Mus musculus: one gene and its partners. The protein of the gene in region 1 interacts with the protein of each later gene in a pairwise test. Links are inferred from orthologs where the notes say so. Each region holds a gene or a part of one and is shown in the gene's direction. Other genes may lie near its edges.

What was found.
Region 2: the proteins of Wac (region 1) and Htt interact in binary tests that used the Homo sapiens proteins (3 or more experiments, as listed by UniProt). The link is inferred for Mus musculus from reciprocal best matches to the Homo sapiens genes WAC and HTT.
Region 3: the proteins of Wac (region 1) and Traf3ip1 interact in a two-hybrid assay, tested with the Homo sapiens proteins (2 studies listed by BioGRID and IntAct). The link is inferred for Mus musculus from reciprocal best matches to the Homo sapiens genes WAC and TRAF3IP1.
Region 4: the proteins of Wac (region 1) and Dydc1 interact in binary tests that used the Homo sapiens proteins (3 or more experiments, as listed by UniProt). The two-hybrid records come from large-scale screens. The link is inferred for Mus musculus from reciprocal best matches to the Homo sapiens genes WAC and DYDC1.
Region 5: the proteins of Wac (region 1) and Nfe2l2 interact in a two-hybrid assay, tested with the Homo sapiens proteins (2 studies listed by BioGRID and IntAct). The two-hybrid records come from large-scale screens. The link is inferred for Mus musculus from reciprocal best matches to the Homo sapiens genes WAC and NFE2L2.

Annotation. Positions count from the first base shown.
Region 1 is NC_000084.6:7,867,675-7,872,521, forward strand, and holds the start of Wac (WW domain-containing adapter protein with coiled-coil), read left to right. Parts: upstream 1-1,522; 5' UTR 1,523-1,900; coding exon 1,901-1,941; intron 1,942-2,018; exon of another isoform or gene 2,019-2,215; intron 2,216-2,316; coding exon 2,317-2,353; intron 2,354-3,856; coding exon of another isoform or gene 3,857-3,874; coding exon 3,875-4,070; intron 4,071-4,847.
Region 2 is NC_000071.6:34,760,056-34,764,697, forward strand, and holds the start of Htt (huntingtin), read left to right. Parts: upstream 1-1,684; 5' UTR 1,685-1,851; coding exon 1,852-2,054; intron 2,055-4,642.
Region 3 is NC_000067.6:91,492,891-91,497,625, forward strand, and holds the start of Traf3ip1 (TRAF3-interacting protein 1), read left to right. Parts: upstream 1-1,777; 5' UTR 1,778-1,875; coding exon 1,876-1,998; intron 1,999-4,735.
Region 4 is NC_000080.6:41,071,017-41,075,868, forward strand, and holds the start of Dydc1 (DPY30 domain-containing protein 1), read left to right. Parts: upstream 1-1,894; 5' UTR 1,895-2,022; intron 2,023-3,041; exon of another isoform or gene 3,042-3,186; intron 3,187-4,852. UniProt on the Homo sapiens protein: Functions as part of axonemal radial spoke complexes that play an important part in the motility of sperm and cilia. Plays a crucial role during acrosome biogenesis.
Region 5 is NC_000068.7:75,701,706-75,706,341, reverse strand, and holds the start of Nfe2l2 (nuclear factor erythroid 2-related factor 2), read left to right. Parts: upstream 1-1,678; 5' UTR 1,679-1,933; coding exon 1,934-1,978; intron 1,979-4,636.

The DNA of each region.
Region 1 (4,847 bases):
GAGACATCAACTAATGAGGCAGACATTGTTGTCAGGTATGTCATTCTCACATCTGTGTACATTGGGTGCATGCTGATGTGGGGGTGACAAATGAATTTTACTGTGTAAGTTTGCAAACACAATATTGAGTATCACTCCTACATCTTGAACATTTCCTCCTTTAGCTCAGCCCTGTGTTACCTCACCACAAGGGAATAAGAATAATGGTGCCAGTCTTTAGAATTTCCGTGCAAGACGTAATATTTTTTTCCCCTCTTCCAACTTAGTGTTTGGGACTGGACCAAAGGACCCTTATAGGAGAGATCTGACTACCCCCATTAAGGGCATTTTAACTTTTTTTTGTGTTTAATTTGTGCTAAAAAATGTTACAAATGACCTATCCCTCTAGCCCTCCAGTCACTTCAGGCACCAACAACCTTTTTTCTTAGTTACTGACAGCTTCTGTGGGCGTTAAGCAGGGTTTTACTAGTTGCCATAATAATCAACTTAACATTTGACAAGTGGATCTGACAAGCCGACACTGTTAGTTTAAAAAATCTTTTCAGCTATGATTTCAAGGTCTCTTTCCGTATTACACTATTTAGGATTAATGTAACCTTTTGGATACCGAGTAGTCTTTTCAATTTTTTTTTTTAATCCTTATGTGTTTTACCTCTCTAGCCTGCTTACGTAGCAATTCTTTCTGTTAAACCCATGTTCCAGGAAATAAAAAGGCAGTGGACTGCCACCAAGAAAAGATTGTCACTGATAAGTTTCCTCCCCGTGAATCGCAAATAATTTATAGCAACCTCACTCACTACACCGCTCATTTTCTGTACTCCCGTACTCTGGAAAGAATTTCCTTCCACGGAGAGGAAGAACTAGGAGGGACACAGGAGTCGCCGTAGGAAGGCTCCGTGCGGCCGGGCACTTACGTGCCATGGCCAATGCCACAGGCGCGCGGTCGGCGCTGCTGGGTGGCAGCACCAGCCGCGGTTCTGGGTTCTCCCGGCCCGCCGAGTGTGACTTCCGTCGCGGCCCGCCGAGGCTCCGCGACCACCGTCCGGGCCGCCCAATTAGGGGCTTTCCGACCCCCGCACGGAGCCCGAGGGGCGGGGGACACGGCCGCCTCGCGGAGGGCACCCCGCCCCCGCCGCCGTAGCGCCTCTGGGCGCACGCGCAGCTCCCGCCGCTCCGCATTTAGTCCGAGATGGCGTCCCTCGCGCCCCACGGTTCTCTTCCCGAAGGTGGCTCCCACCCTGCGCAGCCCGGAGGCCCCGGGGCTCGCCTCACGCAGGCTCCGGAGCACGATTACCCCTAAAGTGGAACGGGAGTGGCCGGATTCGCGAGCGAGGAAAGCAGCAACCGGAAGGGCTTGACGGGTCGCGGGGCGAGGAGCCCAGGCCGCGGAGGAAGAGGAGGGCGGGAGCGAGCCGAGGTTTGTCGAAGGCGGCGTTCTCGAGCCTCGCGGGGCGGGGAGGAGGGGGTGTGGCGGAAACTGCCGAGCTTTCCCGAAGGCGGCTGCGTCCGAGTTGCCCGGATGTAGTTGGTGGAGCGGCGGCGGCTGTAGCAGCGGCAGGAGGCGGCGAGAAGGACCCGGCGGCGGCGGAGCAGGAGGAGGGAAGGTGCTGGAGGCGTTCGCTCTCCGCGGGGACCGGAACACGGCCTCTCACCCCCTCCCCCCGGCTCGCGCTGCCGCCCCGTAGTTGGCACCTCTGCCCCAGCCGGCCCTAAGCGGTGGTGACGGAGGGAGATGGCCCGGGACCGCCGGCGCCAGTAACGGGGAGGTGCCGCGAGCCGCCGAGGGTGCGCTGAGACCTGGTGCCGGGGCTGCCCGCCGCCCGCCCGCCGCCCGCGCGCCCGCCCGCCTGCCTCGCGGCCGCTCTCCCCCTCCCCGACACACACACACAGCCGGGCATTGATGGTAATGTATGCGAGGAAACAGCAGAGACTCAGTGATGGGTAAATCGTCTTTTCGTTTCGGGCCGGGCCGCGGCGGAGGGCGGGCGGACGGGCGGGCGGGCGGGCGTCCTTATCGGGAGCTGGCCGCGCCGCCATTTTTGTTGTTAACCCTGATCGGGATCGGTCGGAGGAGGCGCCGGGCCGGGCCGGGCCGGGCGGACGGGCTGGCGCCCTGGGGACCCGGAGGGCTGGACGAGCGGGCTGTGGCTGCGGCCTGAGTCCGAACCCGGGCCTCTGAGCCCGGGGAGCGTCCGCCGCGCGCGGATCCGCGCTGGTACGTTTGTCCGCCGGTCCGCGGGGAGGGGCGGCCGGGAGACCCGCTTTCTTCCTTTCCCGCGATGTCTCACAGGACGGTCCTTCTTTACTGTTTTTCAGCTGTCACGACCGGAGAGGGGACTCTCAGCCTTTCCAGGTACCAGCCGATCCTGGGTGGAGGGATTGGAGGGGCTGGAGGGGGAAGGGAGGGACTGCTACTCGAGCGCAGGCTTCAGAAGTCGCTACAGGCCCTTTGGTGCAACAAATCTGAAAGTAGCACCACTGGTCCGCTTAAAATTCAGTATTGGGTTTTATTAGCATTCTCCAAATGCATCTTGAGAGGTGACTAGAGGAAGCACAGGGGTTTGTTTTGCCTTTTGTTTTTTTGTTTGTTTGCCTGTTTGTTTTTAAGGGAAAAAAATACTCGGAAACAGGAAGACCTGGCTTGGCTTGAATGTGAAGGAGTCACTGAAGTGTAGTGATATTTGACTTCAGAGGCCCATTTATTTAATATTCTATCGAGGAGCCGAAAGATAAATGTGAGAGTTGTAAAAGTAGAGTAAAGGCTTGAGAGCAGTAACTTGAGTTACTCTCAGTAACAATACTCTTACCATTTTATTTATTTAGTTCAGATTATGCTATTTCAAAGAAAAGGTTTTGTTTTTGCTTCAGTTAATTTAAACCTTCCTTTACTTAGTAATTCATGCTAGTAGAAATGATTCTCTACTATTCCACTGAAGGTTTTGCGTGTAAAGTTTTAAAGGTTTGCAGAAATGTCTTCAGGATACTGTCTGAAGATAACAGAAGTAAATACTTTATGCCTCTAATCACCCTTAAAAGAGAAAATAGGAACAGATCTGTGTCTCCCTCAAGGTTCCGTGGTCCAGGCTTGCTTCCAGTTTTACTCCTGTCTAGTCTTCAGAATGCTGGTTACACGTGGGAGCCAGCACATTTCCAGCCTGACTCTTGTACAGGAGCTTCTGGGATGTCAGAATATTTGCATCTGTCAAACATTATTTCCTTCCCTCCCAGACTGCAACACTGGGTTCCTCTTCAGACACCTGCAGTGTAAAACCATTATTTTGAGGGCATTTAGAATTCTTCCTGTTTAGAAACACTGTTCATGTATCAGTTTGTTTTGGCACATCATGTTACATTTTAAAAACTAATTTATCCCTGAAAGAGCTTATAAATTAGGGACAGTGCTTTATTTGAATCAAAAAAAAAGAGGAAAAACTGTTGTCTTTTTGAAAATTGTGGTTATTAAAATATGCTTATTTATAGACATGCTTGGATGCATTGGTTGTAGAGGTTAAGTGGATAGTAATCTAAGCTCTCAAAAATTGATTTTAGTTTTGAAGAATTTTTTTTTCCTGGTAGGTCAGTGTGCCAAAATACTGTTTAAAAAAAGTTTACATGATCAGATAGGTTTCTTTTCTTTTCTCTTCTTTTCTTTTGTGAGTGTGTGTGAGTGTGTGTTTTGTGGTTGCATCTGTTATCAGGAGTTGCATAGGAAATCTGGAGCCTTTCCCTCTTCTCTGAGTAAGGGAAGTACTGAAAATGGAAATTCTGAATTTTGATGTAAGGGAACCTGACATAGCAAAATTTGTCATTTAAATTGGGAATTGAGTTTAAGTTTTCAATTTTTCTCTCTCTTTGGGGGGGTGATGTTTTACAGGCACTTAAGTATTCTTCAAAGAGTCACCCCAGTAGTGGTGATCACAGACATGAAAAGATGCGAGACGCCGCAGATCCTTCACCACCAAACAAAATGTTGCGGAGATCTAATAGTCCTGAAAACAAATACAGTGACAGCACAGGTCACAACAAGGCCAAAAACGTGCACACTCAGAGAGTTAGAGAAAGGGACGGTGGTAAGTAGCTCTCGGGCTAAACTGTCATGTGTGTGTCCTGGGAGAGTTAGAGAAAACAGTGCAGTCAGCACATTACCATGTACTAGTATTATCACTTTGAATCCATTTTTTGTTTGTTTTTTAATTCAGCAGGCACTATGGGAAAATGGTATCAGCATGAACACACAGTGTTTGATAGTGCAGTTACAAATACAGGCTTCTAAATGGTGACTAGTGATTGGAGAGTTCCTGAACAGTTTCCCAAGAAAGGAACTTTTAAGGTTTTAAGAATTTTGGTTTTAGTTTGAAATCATTGGTCCTTTAGATTATTTCCTAAGGTGTTCAAGTTAAACACCCCTAAGGTGTTTAAGTGTATAACACTTAAAGAAGAGGTTTGTCAAGTTAGCTACCACCACTAAAAGTTTTTATTTTAACTTAGGAAATTAGTTTTTGTTGTAACCATTTAAAATTTTATATTTCATTTCTCTCTCACCGGAGGGTTCTCTTGATGTTTAGATGAAACAGTCAGTCTTTTTTTAATTTTATGCCTTTTGTTTTGAGGCTGGCCTCAGATGACCTATACAGCTGAGGAAGATTAAGTTAGCCTTATTTTTTTACAGTTCTGATATCTTGTCACCTGTTCACAAACTGGTGGGGACTGGGAATAAGTGCATTCTCAGGCTGACTTTGCTTATAGCTTATGAATGTAACATTTACTTATAAAGCTTCCATTGCGGGATAAAATAATTTCATGAAGATAATTAAGAGCTGTATATTTTTCTTTGACAATAAGACCTC
Region 2 (4,642 bases), on another chromosome or scaffold:
ACATCATAACCTAGAGAATGCTAAGAGACAGGGCTCACTGGGCCTTCTTCCAAGTCTGCCTACTAGCAACTACCAACCCTGGCCAGCTGTTAGAGGCTGCCTCATGTGAGAGCTAGCACTGGCACTGTGCATCTAATAGTGCCATTAGTAACAGAGGGGACATAGAATCTAAAGGCTGTTTCTCTGCTCTCCTTCCCAGTTTAACAGCGGCGGGCTTATACCCCTACAGTAACAGTGTTGGTTTCTGTATACTTGGCCATTTCGAGAAAATGGAGTGCCTTATGGCCATGGAATAGGGCATTTGATTCTTACAGGTAGCCTGAAGCTTCATTGGGTTTCTCACTGCATGGATCACCTCCAGACAGCTTTTTCTGAAGCCGGAACGGTTTTGTTTGTTTGTTTGAGACAGGGTTTCTATGTAGCTCTGGCTGTCCTGGAACTCACTTTGTAGAACAGGCTGACCTATAACTCAGAGATCTGCCTGCCTCTGCCTCCAGACTGCTGAGATTAAAGGTGTGTTCTATCACTGCTTGGCTTTTTCCTTTTCCTTTTTCTTTTGAGACAAGTTCTGATACAGCCCATGCTGACTTGAATTCACTATGAAGCCAAGGAAAACCTGGAACTCCTGATCCTCGTTCTACCTGCAGAGTACATGATTACCACCCCTGGTTTATAAAATGCAGGGATTGAACTCAGAGCTTCGTGCATGCTACTCAAAAAGCATTCTACAAGTGCTGTGATTAAAGGCATGCACCACCATGCCCGGTTGAAGCCAACACTTTTTGCTGGGCAGACTGCAGGGGCAGCTTGGGTGTATCCACACCATTTTCAGCTTCCTGCTTTAATTGCTCACCTTTGGGAGATGGAGGCTCTAGAGACAAGGACTTCAGCGCTGGTGGCAATGAGACCCCTTGTAGGTCCTGGCTGGTTGCCACAGCACTTTCCAGGGTCCGTGTCTCAATGTAGAGTGTGTGACCAAAGTTGCATGAAACACAGCCTTTCTTTGGACAGTAACTACTGCTGCCTGCCTGAAACCCTTTCTCAGCCTTCGCTGCCTGCTTGAAACCCTTTCTCAGCCTTCTCTACTGCAGACACTTCTGGGGCTTCGGGGTCCACGGATCATAAAGGGTTCTTTGGTCCTGAATACAGGTCACTCTGGTTCCCTTCTCATTGCAGGGAGCTCCCAGCACGCTGCGTTCGGGAAGCTCAGGCCACCACCTGGCTTGTGGAAGAGAGAGCTGCTTTGGGTTTCGGGTTCCGAGCTCCACAATCGCTTTCCCGGTGACTCCAGGTGTAGGGTGGCTTTACGCAGGAAAATTTCTTCGCTGTCATTCCCCTTTCCAACCTTTTCTTCCTTCCGGGTCTCCCCAACTCCTCTGCCCACCTCCTCACTTCTTTTCTATCGCTGGTGCCAGGGAGCCGCCCTAAAGCCCACTCTCCGCTCAGCTCCGTCCCTCATCTAGCAGCCCGCCCCGCCCACCTCATCCTCTTGCTTGGCCCTCTTCACTAAGGGGGGCTGGCTTTTGCGGGAAGGGGCGGGGCCACATCGGCGGGGCGGAGAGTCTTAAACTAGCAGAGGCCCCGCAGGCCTGCGTCCTGACTTCGGGAAAGAGGACGACGCATCCGCCTGTCAATTCTGCGGGTCTGGCGTGGCCTCGTCTCCGCCGGCATGACGTCACGGGACGCACTCGCCGCGAGGGTTGCCGGGACGGGCCCAAGATGGCTGAGCGCCTTGGTTCCGCTTCTGCCTGCCGCGCAGAGCCCCATTCATTGCCTTGCTGCTAAGTGGCGCCGCGTAGTGCCAGTAGGCTCCAAGTCTTCAGGGTCTGTCCCATCGGGCAGGAAGCCGTCATGGCAACCCTGGAAAAGCTGATGAAGGCTTTCGAGTCGCTCAAGTCGTTTCAGCAGCAACAGCAGCAGCAGCCACCGCCGCAGGCGCCGCCGCCACCGCCGCCGCCGCCTCCGCCTCAACCCCCTCAGCCGCCGCCTCAGGGGCAGCCGCCGCCGCCACCACCGCCGCTGCCAGGTCCGGCAGAGGAACCGCTGCACCGACCGTGAGTCCGGGCGCCGCAGCTCCCGCCCGGGCCCCGCGCCCCTGGCCTGCGTGCTGGGCATGGCCAACACTGTTCCCTGTCCAGAGGGTCGCGGTACCTCCCTGAGGCCAGGCTTTCCCGGCCCGGGCCCTCGTCTTGCGGGGTCTCTGGCCTCCCTCAGAGGAGACAGAGCCGGGTCAGGCCAGCCAGGGACTCGCTGAGGGGCGTCACGACTCCAGTGCCTTCGCCGTTCCCAGTTTGCGAAGTTAGGGAACGAACTTGTTTCTCTCTTCTGGAGAAACTGGGGCGGTGGCGCACATGACTGTTGTGAAGAGAACTTGGAGAGGCAGAGATCTCTAGGGTTACCTCCTCATCAGGCCTAAGAGCTGGGAGTGCAGGACAGCGTGAGAGATGTGCGGGTAGTGGATGACATAATGCTTTTAGGAGGTCTCGGCGGGAGTGCTGAGGGCGGGGGAGTGTGAACGCATCCAATGGGATATTCTTTTTCCAAGTGACACTTGAAGCAGCCTGTGACTCGAGGCACTTCGTACTCTCCTGGCGTTTCATTTAGTTTGTGGTGTAGTGTAGTTAAACCAGGTTTTAAGCATAGCCAGAGAGGTGTGCTTCTGTGTGTCTGCAGGCAGTTGGATGAGTTGTATTTGTCAAGTACATGGTGAGTTACTTAGGTGTGATTATTAATAAAAAACTATATGTGTGCATATATATGAAAGAGTCGACTTATACTTAACTGCCTATCGATTTTTTGTTCTATATAAAACGGATACATTGGTGGTGCTCAGTTTTCACCGGGGAATGAATTTTACTAGTGTTGCAGACAGGCTTGTTTTAGAACATAGGCCACTCTGACTCTGACTTTGTGCCAGTAAAAGTTCCTGTTTAGTTCTTTGCTGACATCTTATAGATCTTTGGAAGCTAGCTGCTTGTGACTGGAGAGAATATTGAAACAGAAGAGAGACCATGAGTCACAGTGCTCTAAGAGAAAAGAGACGCTCAAAACATTTCCTGGAAATCCATGCTGAGTGTTGAGCCCTGTGCTCTCTTGCAGCTCAGTCCTTTCTCTCAACTCTGGGCATTTTATTTCTAATCTGGATTTGTATAATTAATAAGGAGAACTTTTGGGAACAACCTACTAAAGAATGTCATCATTAAAACTCACTTAGAAAATAAGTGTTCTGGTGATATCATTGAGCTATGTTCCCAGTCCTGAGAGTTTGTTTTTTTTTTTTTTTTTAAATAAAGATTTGGGGAGAAAAGGTGGCTTACTTGATAGAACAAAATATAGGAATAAAATTTCCTTCTATAAGGTGAAAAGTGTGAATAGAAAACTTCTTATCCTCTAGATAAGTAGTTTCTTTTTGCTTTTGAGAGTCTCACTATGTAACTCTTGACCTGAACTCAGAGAGATCCATCCTCCTGCCTCTGCCTCCTCTCTCTGGGATTAAAGGCATGTGGCACCATGCTGGGCTGTCCAAGTATGCCACAGACCCTCTAGGTCCCTGGTCTTCGAGGAACGGGATTTCTTAGGCAGATGGGTAAGGAGTCGGATGAAAATGACAATCAGCCACACACAAGAGAGGTGTTGAATCTGAATGTAATGTTCTGGTTGAGCTTCAGACTTATATAACAACGAATTATCAGAGGATACAAATCACAAAAAGACAAGATACACTGAAATTCACCAGTTACAGCAGAAAGGAATTTGCAGGGACTAATTAAATGTTTACATTAGGGATAACAAGCCCTGCCTAGGATCAGCCTAATGCCAGGCAAGAATTTCACACTTTAAGGTTAAAAGCATCAGGGGGTTGTTAACTCTTGACAGGCCTTAAGAGTAATGTGCTATCACTGAGCTCTAAATTCTTAGGTCTAGTAAAACTTATCCTGTCTGGAGAGTTCCCCCTTATCAGGGTAGTATATCAACTTATACTTGACATGGAATGAAGCCTGTAGTAAAACATTTCTATCTCAGTGAGACTTTTAGTCTCTATCTGTAAACAGCTGAGTAAAATGGCAAGTGCTTAATTGTTTACTGAATGGGTTAAGCTCCTTGCTGCTATCTGGAATCTAAGAACACTGGGGAAAGGCTTTAGCTATGTTAGAATACAATATTAAAAGGCATTTACTATAAGGTGATGCTTAATAGAGTGCACGTGAATCTATACACTAGATTAATGTGGTGGAAATTTGAATATAATGGGTTAGGGAAAGAGATGCCATAACTCTGGGAGGAAAATTTCCCTGGACTCTTATCCTCGTGAAACAGCTTCCAGGCTTTTCGCCTGACAAACCGATCCAAACTGGAGAGTTGGCTTTCGCCAGAATATCCAGGAGGAGAGTCCTAGAAATTCATTTCTCATGAGCAGCTTTTTGGCATTTTTGCCTCACAAGCTGACTCCACCAGAGTACCCTGACACAAGTATTGTCTAGTTATTTTGATTATTACCATGACTCTGCCTCTGGGTGAGAGGAATTGTGGAAGTTTACATATTCCCCATATCTTCTATAAACCTCTGTGTGTGTGTGTGTGTGTGTGTGTGTGTGTGTGTGTGTGTGTATGAGGGAGAGAGAGGGAGAGAGAGAGAGGGAGG
Region 3 (4,735 bases), on another chromosome or scaffold:
ATGTTTGCCTCTCAATTGGGGGAGGTAGGGCCTGGAAGCCACTTTGCTTTGTGGCTTCTGTTTCCTGGGGTGAGTCACAACCATCCTTATTCCCTTCATTCACTCAGAAACTGTTCACGTTGAAAGCCTCCCCTGCCGGGCTTTTGAGTTAGAAACCTCTTTCCATTCTTACTCAGCTACCTTCTTCTGTGAATGACTCTTTCCTGCTCTCTCCCTCATCTCAGGGGGTGATGTAGGCTAGTAGCCCCTACTCTGCTGACTGCCCCCCAAGACTGATGGCTCCATGCTGGCCTCTGCATCCTTCCTCTGGGGAGGTCTGGGTTCCAGATATCTTTCTTGAAGCCAGGAATTGCTTATATCTTCTGGGACCCGCTTCGTTGGTGACCAGAATGTTGTCCACTGAAGAATGTCTTTCTTCAGTATGGGGGTGGGTAGGCTGAACCAAAGGCAGGGGTGAGACTCTGGAAGATAGAACTATACTCTTCAAAGTTACCTCCCCTAGGTCAGTCCCCAGAGGGTTGGTTGACAATACTTGCTGTCCTGGATCTTCTAAAAAACTTTGATACCCAGATAGACTGAAGATCTTCTGGTTGGTTAGCCCTCCTAAAGGCAGCCAAAACTGTACTCTGGCCTTCGTGTGTGTGTGTGTGTGTGTGTGTGTGTGTGTGTGTGTGTGTGTGTGTTCTTGGATCCACTTACTGTTCTGCCCTCCTCCACAAGCTGTGAGAGGATAAAGCATCATCTTCGCTTTGTTGTATGGCATAGGCTCCAGGTCCTCAGTAGAATTCCCAAGGTCAGAGGTATCTTCCAAGTAAAACCCTGAGTTCCTACCACCTGGTCCAGCATCACAAACAAGCCAGTTGCTGGCTCCAGCTTTCATTCCACACCTACATCACGATTCTGCTCAGAGTGAACTTTCTAGGGTAGGAGCTAGGTGGGTATGTTCTTAGGGGCGGTGTTTAGAGACAGGACTTCTGCTCTCTGAATTCTGCTCTCTGAACTCCCCCAGAGACCAACTCCAGCTGGGGCTCAGAGTGAGAGGGCTCTTAAAGAAGATTCTGGCTCTCGGGGTGTAGCCATGGTAGAGAGATCAGGGGCAATGTTCTAGTTGGGGTTCTGCCAGTTTGGGCAGAGGAGCTCCAGACCTCAGGCACAGCAGCAACACCTGATCCAGTAGAAGCATCTCCTGCATAGCCTCGGGTGGTGGTGAGGGTGAGGTGGGAAGTAAGTGTGTGTGTGTGTGTGTGTGTGTGTGTGTGTGTAGCAGAAAGCTGCAGCATCCTAGCCTAAGGGCCTAGCTCCTTCACAGTTTTGTGCCCGCTCTGGTGAACCAAGAGCACAGAAAATGTGGAAGGACACAACCCTTCCCCTTGGCACCATCTTAAAGATTACCTAAGGCAGGGGATGCTGGGCAGGGAACAGGAATGAAGGGATGAAAGGAGTCAAGTCCTTTTCCAAGTTTATGTGAAGTGTTATTTTCCTGGTGGGTGTTACTGTAAATGCTCTCCTTAGAAATATCAAATGGTCGCTCTTTTCTCACTCAGAATGCCAGGTCTCTGGGCAGTGCTGTGCAGCGCCCTATGGTGCGCCGGGTTGGCGGAGCAGGCTCAGGTTCAAGCAGCCACAGAGGCGGAGCGCGTGTGTCCTCCAGAGCAGCTAGAGAGGCCGGAGGGGATGGGCGGGGCCGGGCGCGCGTCCGTTGCCAAGGCCGCGCGGCCCTAGAGACCGGGTGCTGGTGGCACGCGCAAGCGCGGTGGCGAGCTGCGGTGCACTGTGGGATGGGAGACCGGCGCGCCGGGACGGCGGGCATCTCGGGGCACCGGGCAGAGGCGCGGCGCGCGAGGAGGGGCGCGAGCGGTCGCGGGCGGCAGCGCCATGAACGCCGCAGTGGTGCGGCGGACGCAGGAGGCTCTGGGCAAGGTGATCCGGAGGCCGCCGCTCACCGAGAAGCTGCTCAACAAGCCACCGTTCCGCTACCTGCACGACATCATCACCGAGGTAGGCGCGGGCTGGTGCGCGTCAGGTTGAGGTGGGGTGAGGGTAGGGGTAGAGTGCGGAACGGGTTAAGGGTCCGGGTAGTGGCGGGACGGGTTGAGGGTTGGGGTAACGGTGTTGAAGGTTATGGTTAAGTGCGGGACCGAGCGAGTGTCGGAGTGAGGGTCCGGGTAGGGTGAGAGTCGAGGTAGGATGCGCGTCTGAGTAGGATTCGTTTCGGGGTGAGAGTCAGAATTAGGGCCGGATCAAGGCGAGTGACCAGGTAGCGTGAGGATCGCGTTGAGGGACCGGGTAGTGTGAGGGGCGTTGTAGGATGCCAATCAGGGTTTGGGTCGAAATGAGGATTAGTCTCAGATGAAGGTGAGGATCAGGGTCAATGGTAAGGTCTGTGTGGCTCCGAGTGCTGATTGGATTGAGAGTGCGTTGAGGGGTGGAGGTGCAGGTCCAGGTCCAGGTGAGGGTCAGGGTTAGGTTCCAGTTGGAGTCAGGGTAGAGTAGCGGGTGCTGGTCTAGTGGTTTGGGTGGAGATAGAAGGCCCGGGTCAGAGTCTAGGTCTGTGGGTTAGGGTGCTGGAGCCAGAAGGTGAGGCTGAGAGGAGGTAGAGGCCCGGGCTGACATCGGTTTATTGAGTGTGAGCCTCGGGACAGGGTCTAGGCTCAGGGTCAAGTTGCTGTTAGGAGCTGGAGGTATGTTGGGGCTCTGGAATTGGGCTGTGCTTATACTTGAGGCCTGGGTAGGGTGCAGGTCCTTGTCTGGGACCTTCTGAGCATTCAGTGGTGCCTTCCATGTTAGGTTCCCAGGCCCACTAGGTCTTGGGACCTGCCTTACTTTACTTCTCCCAACCTGCAGCACTTACCATTATGTCTCTTTAGAGCTTGTCTTCTATTTGTTAGTGAGTCTCCAGGAAGCTGCATTGGATGAGGTACATAACATTGTACAACAGTTACAATTGTGTGGAGTCTGTCTGGGCTCTTGGTAACCCCAAGAGTGTCACTGCAGGGGGTACACAGAATGGGCATGGTACTCCAGAAGGTGCTGTGGAACTTGGGGTATGGTTGGGACTTAGAAGTCCAGAGCTCAAGGTCTCTCCCAGTGTTGACCCTCAGACTTTCTCGTCTCAGTAGGTTGAGCACTGTAGTCTACCCTTCTCGTTACTCATTTGGCCCTCCTACCTTAGCTTGTAATAGGTACTGTCTCGGAACATGGCCCTGTCTGTTAATCTTACATGTGTCCAGAAATGCTCAGGAATCCACCCACATCCCAAGGTGCTCTGCCGCCTGGTAGTCTCCTCTCCCAGTCTGTGAGGCGTTTGTAGCCTATCCTGGAAGGTCTGAGGAAGGGACTGGTGGTGTGGAGAGCCCTGGGAAGCAGGCAGTTGCCACTCTTCAACAGTGAAGGAGTCAAGAAGACTCAGGCATCATGGCACCGGCCTATCACAGTGGAGACTGCTAGGCCTGTGTTTTTATTCTGTTAGTACCCTCAGCCCATGGCTTACGGGGAGTGCTACTCAGCCTCAGATCACTCAGGAACGGAGTGGGGCTTATGGGAGGGAAGAGGAAAGAAGTGGGAGATGACTGTTGACAGGTAGACAGGTGAGGAGTGAGGGCTGCTTTTCTTTTAGACTTTACTGGATCCAGTGGTGAAGCCGGTCTGTTTTGGTATGAAGGTACGTACATTAGCTGTCACCTCCTTGATAAGGAAGGCTGTCAGAGTTGATGTACTTGGAAGTTTTTTCAGAGCAGAGGTAGAGAGCCTCCCTGAAGGTTCTTTACTGTCCCTGAATACTGCATTCAAGTCTCTTCCATGAGGTAGCTACAGCTGTTTCTTCATTAAGCTGACATTCAGACACAAATGTCTCTTGTCACAGTTGCTGCTCACAATTTAAACTGCCAGTGTCTTGGGGAAACCTGAGCAAAGTCAGTTTCAGGAGTGTTAGATTGGGATGCTCTGGTGGTCTGTGTGCCAGCCAGCTGTCTCCTAAAAAAAAAGCCCAGCCCAGCAATATGTTTCTCCTGAAGTTTGTTGTGAGATGGACTCTTCTAGATTAATTAATGACTAGAACGATGTTGCCAAAGTAATTGTAGCCCCATCCCAGAGGAGTGACATTCACATGGGGATGTCTTGCTGCTGATGTTTTTAAAGCCTGCCTCCTGTACCCATGGTAACATGTTACTATGTACCACAAGTCTGGTCATATGAGTCCTCTCCAAGCACCACATTTACATTCTTGGTGTTTTTTTTTTTTTTTTTTTTTCCTGTTACCCGTCTTACTGATTTTTTAGCAATATGTACTTTTGAGAATCCAGGACCCTGGCTGGATGTAGGGTCATAGAGGAACAGAAAATTATTGTCCTTCTGTAGGGGTAACTAGGGCTACAGGTTACGTGTGGGAGGAGGCACTGTGGGAAGAGAACAAATATGATTGGATGGGGAACACTCCATTATGGTAGAAATGAGGGACTCTTTTGGAACTCCTGGTTTCAGATACCCAGGCTAAGTAGCTCCTTTTCTTTCTGGAGTCCGTTCTCCTGGCTTGGTCTGAGTGCACTGGGGAAGGGTTGTGTGGTCAGGCCCTCTGCTAGATAAAAGCTGTTTGTGTCTCCTTGGAGTGCCTCGGCCTCTGGTCCCAAGTTGCTGCAAAGGGACTGAAGTCAGGCCATCGTGGCCCCAGGTTCAGGCTCCCACCACCCTACGTGGCTTTCATCCCTGTTGGCCTGGACTTGCTGGTGGTTTTCTTTTG
Region 4 (4,852 bases), on another chromosome or scaffold:
CTGGGTGAAGTGCAACTTCCAACATCTCAGATGCAATATATGTGTGACTTGACAAAAATCCCCAATGCAACTCCCAGCCACTCATCTGTTCTCATAGAATCCCAGCCCAGAATCATGAGCTGCCTTCCCAGAACATCTTTCCATGCCTGAGTTATTGAGTGGCTGCTACAGGGCTTAAATATGACAAGCCCTCTGAGATACTACCTCTGGCATTTGTCACTGTCTTAGTCACGGTTTCTATTCCTGCACATAACATCATGGCCAAGTTGGAGAAGAAAGGGTTTTTTCAGCTTATACTTTCCACATTGCTGTTCATCACCAAAAGAAGTCAGGACTGGAACTAAGCAGGTCAGGAAGCAGGAGCTGATGCAGAGGCCATGGAGGGATGCTCTTTACTGGTTTGCTTCCCCTGGCTTGCTCAGCCTGCTCTCTTATAGAACCCAAGACTACCAGCCCAGAGATGGTCCCACCCACAATGGGCCCTCCCCACTTGATCACTAATTGAGAAAATGCCTTACAGCTAGATCTCATGGAGGCATTTCCTCAACTGAAGCTTCTTTCTCTGTGATAACTCCAGCCTGTGTCAAGCTGACACACAAAACCAGCCAGTACAGTCACATACTAAGTCCTGAGTAAATATGTCTGAGTGCTCTGATGTTGGGGGTAGGTGGGTAGAGGGAGGGCTCATTCGTTGTTGATCCATTAGTGTCCCTTCTTGCATTTATGAAAGCCTCTACCACTAAGCAATGCCATGCCCATAGTTTGCTTTTTCTTGCTCTGATAAACACCATGACCAATAGCGAACTGGGGGACAAAAGGATTTATCTGGTTTACAGATTACAGTCAGTCGTCATCAAGGAAAGCCAAGCCAGGAACTCAGTGCAAGAGCATGAAACAGTAACTATGACAGAAATGCTGCTTACAGGCTCGCTTTCCCTGGCTGACTCTGCTACCTTTTCCTTCCTTTCCTTTTCCCCTTTTCCTTTTCTTTTTTTTCTTTTTTTCCTTTTCCTTCCTTCCTTCCTTGCTTGACAGGGTTTCTATGTGTGGCCCTGGTTGTCCTGGAACTCACTCTGTAGACCAGGCTGGCCTCGAACTCAGAAATCTGCCTGCCTCTGCCTCCTGAGTGCTGGGATTAAAGGTGTGCACCACCACTGCCCGGCTTCAGCTACCTTTCTTACACAGCACAAGTCCACCTTCTCAGGGATGGGCACTCGCAGCTCATAGTGGGCATATGCCCATAATTAGCAATCAAGAAAACGCTTCACAGACATACATGCCCACAAGTCAGTCTGATGGAGGCAGTTCTTCATTTGAGATTTCCTCCTTCAAGGTATATCTAGGTTTGTGTCACGTTGACAAAAACTAACCAAGCACATCAGGGGAAAGTGCATAGGAGGGCCTGGCAGAGGGTGCCTTTGGGTAACCTGAAGTTGCTTGCGTTTGAGTTTGCTCTGAAAGGTGTGGAGTCTTAAAATTGCCAAGCCGACAACAAGCTTGCAGCTTTAATCCCCAGGGATCAAAGGAGTCTCCCCTGACTTTCAAAGATCTGCTGGTCCACAGGGCTCCTATCTAAGGGTTCCTATGCCTGCTAGGTTCCAAGTCTCTGTCCCGCTGTTTCTCCACAGTGCTTCCTCTCCCATAAATCTGGTTCTCCCATCTGCGTGCGTGCCCCATCCCCTACAGTGCGCACTCCAAGCTCAGGCTAGAGAACGCCACCCCTCCCACGCCCACTCCCACCCCCACTCCCACTGCGCGAATTCCCCTTTCATTTCTCTTTGCCTCCACTGATTGGGTAGCAATGGAACCTTAGCGCTACACTTGAGCGTGCTCTCGTTGCCAGGCAACGGGACGCGACTCACTGGCAGGTGGCCAGAACGTGCATCAGCTGCGTGGACCAAGGAGGCTGGGCCGTTTTCCTTCGAACCGGTTCTCTAGTGTCTCTGCAGAAGCAGTTGTCAAATTTTCACCTTGCGAGTCATAACCCGGAGGCGGAGGTCTCAACCCGGAGTCCGAGAGAGGGTTAGTTCCCCTTCTCCTCCCTCCTCTCTTCCGGTTTCTCCTCTTTCTCTTCCTCCTCCCATCTCCGGCCCACTAGCCACCCAATAGGAAAACTAACCTAAGTGTCTAGGTTGGTGGCTGCCTGATTGAAATTTGTTTTTAGACAAACAGGTTACTTTCCAGCACAAATATACTAGAAGACAATTATTCATTGTTTCTCAGAAATTCAAGTTGAATTAGGTCTGCTGTAGTTTTGAGTGCCGAATCCAGCACCTCTTCCCAGGCCCTGGCAGAGGACATCCTTCAGTGGCTCAAAGCAGCTGCTCCAGTTCAGAGGCAGGTGTTTCTGTGGGGACGGACTTTCTTTCTGTGGAGTTGAGTGCACACTGGTGTTTGTTGGGAAATAACATTTCTTAGGACAGAAGAGATGGCTATGAGTTTCCTCACATGACCAGGACATGTATGTTACAGAAATGACGGAGGGACCTCATGAAAACCCCACTGAGAATGCTAAGCAGCTGCCAGAAACCCCAGAAAGACCCTGGCCAAAATTCTAGATCAGAGGTCCCTCCTTGACAACCATTGTTCCTTTCTCACGTTTTATGATTTTGGAGCAGCAGAAAGAGTATCTTCCATGTTTTATGTAACTGAACTTCAAATAACATTGATATGTCCACATGGTGATTTTATCTCTATAAATAAATTTTCATAATGTTTTTCTCTTTGTGGTTAGGACACCAGTGCCAACCTAGTTGGAAATCAGCTCATTTGTGCCAGCTCCAGTCAGTTCCTAGGGCTACACTTACACATACATGTGTATATTCCTTTGGTAGCAGAAGCAATTGCTATGTCACCCTTTCCTCCTGCATTGTGACTCACTAGGAATCCACTCCTTATTTTAGAGAGCATCTCCATTCCCTTATATTGTCTCTGGATTCCATGGTATTGTATGTAATTGAACCTCTACCTGGACATTCAAGTGGCGTTTCAGTCTGACTATGGTAATAATGTACAAATACCATGTTCTCATGTCATTTCAGTCTTGAGTCTGCACCTTTGAGACAGGAGTCAAGAACTGCAATGGTGAACATATTCTGATCTTTTAATATCATTGTGTCCCAATTCTGGGCTTGGGTGGAATCATTTGTTTGGTCTGTTATTGTCCATCTGCAAATCCTATATGAGGTAAATAGAAATAGTCAATCCCCCAAAACTCATGCATCTGCCTTCATATCTGAAAAGACAGGGAAACAGCTGGGAGTGGGCATATATTTGCTCATGTGCCACCATGGAGAGACAGTGGTGCACACACACACATACACACACACACACACTCACATCCTCTCGAGTGTGCACATAACATACACAAATGAGCATGCGCACACATACTCACACATTTTATACACTTCTTCGGCAGCATGACAAGGGATGTAGGATCTACTTGAAGCAGGGGAAACTCCCTTGTACTGCTTGACAAAACTCTGGAGCCAGACATGATCTGTGGCTTGAAGGTGAGGAGGTATGTTCCAAGAGTAGAGGAAGGAAAGGATTATTGAGATGGGAAAGTATAGGGTGTGATATGTAGAATGGCAGGAATAAGAGCCCATAAGATGTCAGGGAAGAGCTTGAGGTGAACCTAAAGGGAAGTTGTGGTGGTTTGAACATGCTTGGCCTAGGGAGTGGCACTGTTAGGAGGTGTGGCCTTTGGGTTGTGTCACTGTAGGAGTGGGCTTTGAGAGCTTCCTCCTAGCTGCCTGAGGATGCCAGTTTTCTCCTGGAGGTCTTCAGATTAAGATGTAGAACTTTCAGCTCCTCCCTTGCCATGGCTGCCTGGATGCTGCCATGTTCCTGACATGATGATAATGGAGTGAACTTCTGAAAGTGTACAGCAGCCCAAATTAAATGTTGGCCTTTGTAAGAGTTGTCTTGATCATGGTGTTGATTCACAGCAATAGAAATACTGACTAATACAGAAGTTGATAACAGAGACTGGGGTATTGCTGTGATAAGCCTAACCATGTTTTCATTTGGAGGAATGTGGTTTTTGGAACTTTTGATTTGGAAAGCCATGGAATGCTTTAAGTGTGACTTAATGGTTCATCATAGTAGGAACATGGGAAACATTGGTACTGAGAGTGATTTGAACTATGGAGCTCTTTCTTATATATTGGTGACAAAGAGTCTGTCTGAGGCTCAGGTGAAAAGACTCAATTAATTGCACAAAGAAAGTCTCAGAAACACCCAGCATAGAAATCCTCTGGATTACTCTCATGAAGATTGTTTTGATCAAGCATAGCAAGACTAAAAGGAAAAGAAACACAAAACGTATGGTTCAAGTAATAAAGGGACACCAGGAAGTGCAATGGAACTAAATCCTGTGTTCAAGGATATTTAACAGATTAAGGGAAAGGTGACCTTGGGGTAAGATCCCACACAGCCATTGTTTATGTGTTTGCAGTTGAACAAGGAATATTTATGTCACGTTAGGTATTATTACCTGTTATTGTTCTCATTTGGACTTTTAATCTAGAATGAACTACAATCCAGAAATGGAGGGCACACCTGTGATCCATATCTTAAGGCTGGAAGATACAGGATTTTGATTCGGATCTTGATGTAGGATGACACATGCTCTGGATCCATGTCTTGAGGAACAGTGGCCATGAAAAGCTTATATCCAGGCATTGGGGAACACACCTTTAATCCCAGGAGACAGAGGAAGCAGATATCTGAGTTCAAGGCCAGTCTGCTACACAGCAAGTTCTAAGTAAAGAAAAGCTTGGGTCCAGGTGTGATGGTACATGTCTTTAATCCCAGAACTCAGGACACAGAGCCATGCAGATCTCTGAGT
Region 5 (4,636 bases), on another chromosome or scaffold:
TTTTTACTGCTGTTTCTGTTTTGCTGGAGAAGGAGATTCTGTTTGCATTCTGTTTGTGAGAGAACAAATGGCTGAGCATTGCATTCAGAAGTCCTGAGTCTCAGCTGGAGACCTAGCGCTAGGATCTGAGTAAGAGACCTTTCTTTGTCAGATTGTTGAATCTCTAACTGACCCCAGGCCCATAATAGGGTAGTGGTTTTTAAAATACATTTCAAGCCAGGCAGTGGTGGCGCAAACCTTTAGCCCCAGCACTTGGGAGGCAGAGGCAGGCAGATTTCTGAGTTCTAGGCCAGCCTGGTCTACAGAGTGAGTGTCAGGACAGCCAGGGCTACACAGAAAAACCCTGTCTTAAAAAACCAAAAAAAAAAAAAAAAATTCAAAAGAAGATATTTGTGTTCAAACATACTTAAAACAACAAAGAGAAAGATAAAAATACTCTGGGTTTTCAACTATTAACACATTAAAACATCCCTCGATTTTTTTTCTAAGCCCATATAACTATTTTAGAAATTGGATTTTTTTTCGGGGGCAGTTAAAGAAGTATGTTTGGGAATGAACGTTGTGAAAACAGTCACTACCACCACCACCACCACCAAACCCAAGTGGCAGAGTCTATGGTACAGTTCTCAGCCTGTGGAGAGCCACCCCAAGCATCTCAGATATTTTGCACATCCGATACTTACATTACAATTTATAGCAACAAAATTAGTTATGAAGTAGCAGCAAAAATACTTTTCTAGTTGGAGGTCACCACAACACGAACTATATTAAAGGGTCGCTGCATTACGACGGTTGAGAAACGCTGCTCTAAAAACAGCTTGAGAGGTGGGGCCTTATGAGATCATACCTCAAAATTCCCAAATAGAGTAAGTACGTGTAAAGGAACCCTGAGAGTCTTAGAATCCACTTCGGTGATTCTGTTAGAGCTGTGCCCGCTTGCTGGGCTCTGGGTGGATGAAGTGATACTGAGTGACCGCTTGGGCCCCGAGCCCAGGGCACGTGGGAGAAGTGGAGGGCCTTCGAGTAAGCGAGCACGAGTTTGCAGCGTGGACTCATCCATCTCCCTGGGGCAGAGGTGTTTGAGCACCAGCAACTGAATGGGACCTGGGGCCAGAGGGCAGTTGGCCTCTTGCAAAGTCCGGGTCCCAGCTCAGAGCCCTAACCCCGAAACTGGCGCCACAGTCAGCCGGTGGAGCGAGATAAAGCGGGCAAGGTTCTGCAGGTCCAAATCAGGGAGTGGCAGCTCCGATAGCAGCGCACGGGCCGGGGCTCCCGGTGTGCTTGCACCAACTGTTTAAACTGCTTCAAAGAGCCAGGGCTGGAGCGACCTTCGGCAAACAGCTGCTAATCTCTAGCAAGGGGGTGCTGTCCTACAGAGGACTGGGGGGGCCGAAGGCCTCCTGCTCGCGCTCCGCCCCCCGTGCGACTTCAGCCCACCTGACTCCGCCATGCCCCGGACAGCGAGAGGAGGATCAACAGTGGGGGGTCGAGGGGAACGCGGGAACTCCGGCCGGAAGCACTCAGGTCCATGCCCCGCCCTCGGGCTCTTGCTCCTTCCACTGGCCCCCGTCTTGTCCCCCCCTCCCCTTGCCCCGCCCTAGGCCTTTGCGGGGGGCCCTCGGGTCCTTGCCCTGCCCCTGTACGCGATTCCAAGCTCTTGCCCCGCCCCTTACCCCGCCTCCATGCCCTTGTCCTGCCTCTGGCCCTTGCCTCTTGCCCTAGCCTTTTCTCCGCCTCTAAGTTCTTGTCCCGTCCCTAGGTCCTTGTTCCGCCCCCAGGGGGCGGGGGCGGGGCGGACTAAGGCTGGCCTGCCACTCCAGCGAGCAGGCTATCTCCTAGTTCTCCGCTGCTCGGACTAGCCATTGCCGCCGCCTCACCTCTGCTGCAAGTAGCCTCGCCGTCGGGGAGCCCTACCACAGCGTCCGCCCTCAGCATGATGGACTTGGAGTTGCCACCGCCAGGACTACAGTCCCAGCAGGTGCTGCCCCAACCTTCGGGCCCCTGGGCTGTGCCAAGAAGCCGGCAGGAGCTCGAGGGGATAGTGGCTCCGGGAGGGAGGGACAGTCTGAGCCAGGACTACGACGGCAGGGCCTGGGAACTGCCCCGCCGAGCTGGGAGGGCAACGGAGGATGTTGGGGCCGCGACGAGAGTGGGGTCCGAGCCTGAGGTCTCCAGGGGCGGCGAGGTTGGGGTGTGGAGGAAGCTCTGACTTCGTGGGGCCAGGCAGAGACACCACCACCTCGCTGGGTGGGAGGCGCAGAGGCGGGAGGGGGGTGGATGCTGGCGGTCTAAACCGGCGCCGCCCGGCCTTTTCCGGGGCAGCGTAGTTTCCCTGATTCGGTGCCGGTAAAAATGTGCCTAGTCACGGGGCCGCGCTCGGGGGAGCTGAGGTCTCTCCTCGGCGTCCGCCCGAAGCCCTCCCCAACCCCCGTTCTACGACTTGGTGAGCTCGGCCGTCTACGGCCTCAGCCCGAGAGCTGGTCTGTAAGATCACGCCTGTCCGTCTTGATCCAGAAAAGCCCAGCCCTCCGGGGGCGGAGGAGAAAGTCACCGGGTGGCCCTCGTGCTCTGGCGCCCCGACGGGCGGCCTGCCGGCAGGGCTCCGCACGCTCCTTCAGCCTGGGAACCCGGGAATGGCCTCGCGCCGGGCGCAAGGACGTGCAGACCTGGGCGGCGGGCTCCGAGGTCCGAGTGGGCCCCATGCTGGGCTGTGTGTTCTGAGTATGGTGACCCGCGGGGCCCCACGTAGTGTGCGAGGCTGTGGCTTCTGGCTGGCTTACATCGGCCAGTTGGCAGTCACAGAGGCCCTCGGTTGGCCCTTTCCTGCTCTATAGCGTGCAAACCTCGCTGCTCTGGGGCCAAGGGACAAGTTGGAGCTGTTGATCAGTTGCGCAATTGTTATTTTCCCCTGGGCGGCTTTGTCTTTGGATTTAGCATTACAGAGTTGTAATACCAAAATGTATAAGGCAGGATATTCTGGTCCTTGCCGTCAAGGGTAAGAGTAATAGATTAGAATTTGTTGCTTTTTATACTGTTGCAGAAGTTTTGCTTTTAGACATTTATTTATTATCCCTCGCTTGTGTCCTTAATACATTTTTCTTTGCTGTTTGAGATTCTGCCTCAATTTTCTTAGCATGTTGCGCACTTTGAAGACAGCGAATGGGACGCTTGCGTTTCATAACACTTTCTTGCTAAGTTTTGAAGATTGTTATGTAAGTGAAAACCAGTTTCTGGTTATACTTCAGGCAGTTTTAAAGAAGTAAATGCTTATGTTGGCACACACGCGCGCACACACACACACAAAAGAGTCGGAATTGGATTTTTAGGAAAAGAAACCATTTAACTCCAGGGAATGTATAACTCGGTAAAGAGTAAGTTAGTTTAAATGTAAAGCTTTCGGCTGACCTGGAAGGTCCTGGTGTCAGTTTTTAAGTTACTGACAGTGCATTAATTCTACCCCTCCCTTGAACTTGGCCCCGAAATGATTGGGGTTGTAGCCTGGTTTTCATTAGGATGAATAAGTAAACTGTATTTTCTGATTTCTGCTCTTCATGAGTAATCAGAAGGAATGCTTCCTGGCCACAGGATACACGGTGCAAATGAACTTTGACTGTAAAGTTTTTTTTTTTCTCTTTCCTGTGTAGAATAACATTTCATTTACAAAAATGGCAGCTGTGCTGCTTTCTTTCTCTGCCGTGTGAAAGCTTTGTTAGCCGGACATTTCTAGTTCTTTCCAGACATTGATTTAAATATTTGAAGACCTTGAAGAAATCATTTAAGATCATAATTCAGCTAAAAAGCATTGTTTGATAGTCCAGAAGGATTTGAATTGAGTTACAGATTTAAAGACATGGTGAGAGTGATTCAGCTGTGGCACTGTAGCATTTTGTTTTAACAGTGCTCATGGTTAGTAGACTCCATGGTTCTTCAGCACCGGGTTGCGGGGGTGGGCATCCATTACTTTCCCACTGGTGTCTAGGAAAGATAAAATACTTTGTTGAAGGCAAGAGATGAAGTTGATCTTGAATAAGACATATGAGATTATTTTTAAAGACACATTCGAGATTGGCCTCTCCAGAATGAAGGGAGAGAGAACAACTTAAGAAAAACTTGACTTTCTAGATAGGTGACACATCTCTGAATCTCTGAGACACTACAGAAAAGCCATGTGTAGGTGGATAAACACAGCTACATCAGTCTCTCTGCCTTAGAAATAACTAGGACCACTTTGGAATTCCATTTGTACTAACAGCGGTCCTTACACAATGCTGAGGAACAACCCTCTTTTAGAACTGACAGGAAGCGTTGAAAGCCAGATATACATTTATTTTTACTTAGGATGCGTCACGCTCAGCAAAGCTACAGGAAAAGGGAACACTTGGGTAGTTACCCTTATTTCTAGACCTTTCCTCGGTCATGATCCAGCATATTTAAAAGATTTTCATAAATACATCATTCTTAATTTTGTCTTGAACCAGGGTTAGCTTGAAGATGCAGGGAAAACTAAGAATTTCCGTGCTAGAGACTTGTTAAGGTTAGTGGACACTCCCTTGCAAGTCAAACAATAGTATAATTGCCTCGGATGTATAATTTCTCAATAACCCCACCACCACCCAAAGACTCTTTATCCTCCCTT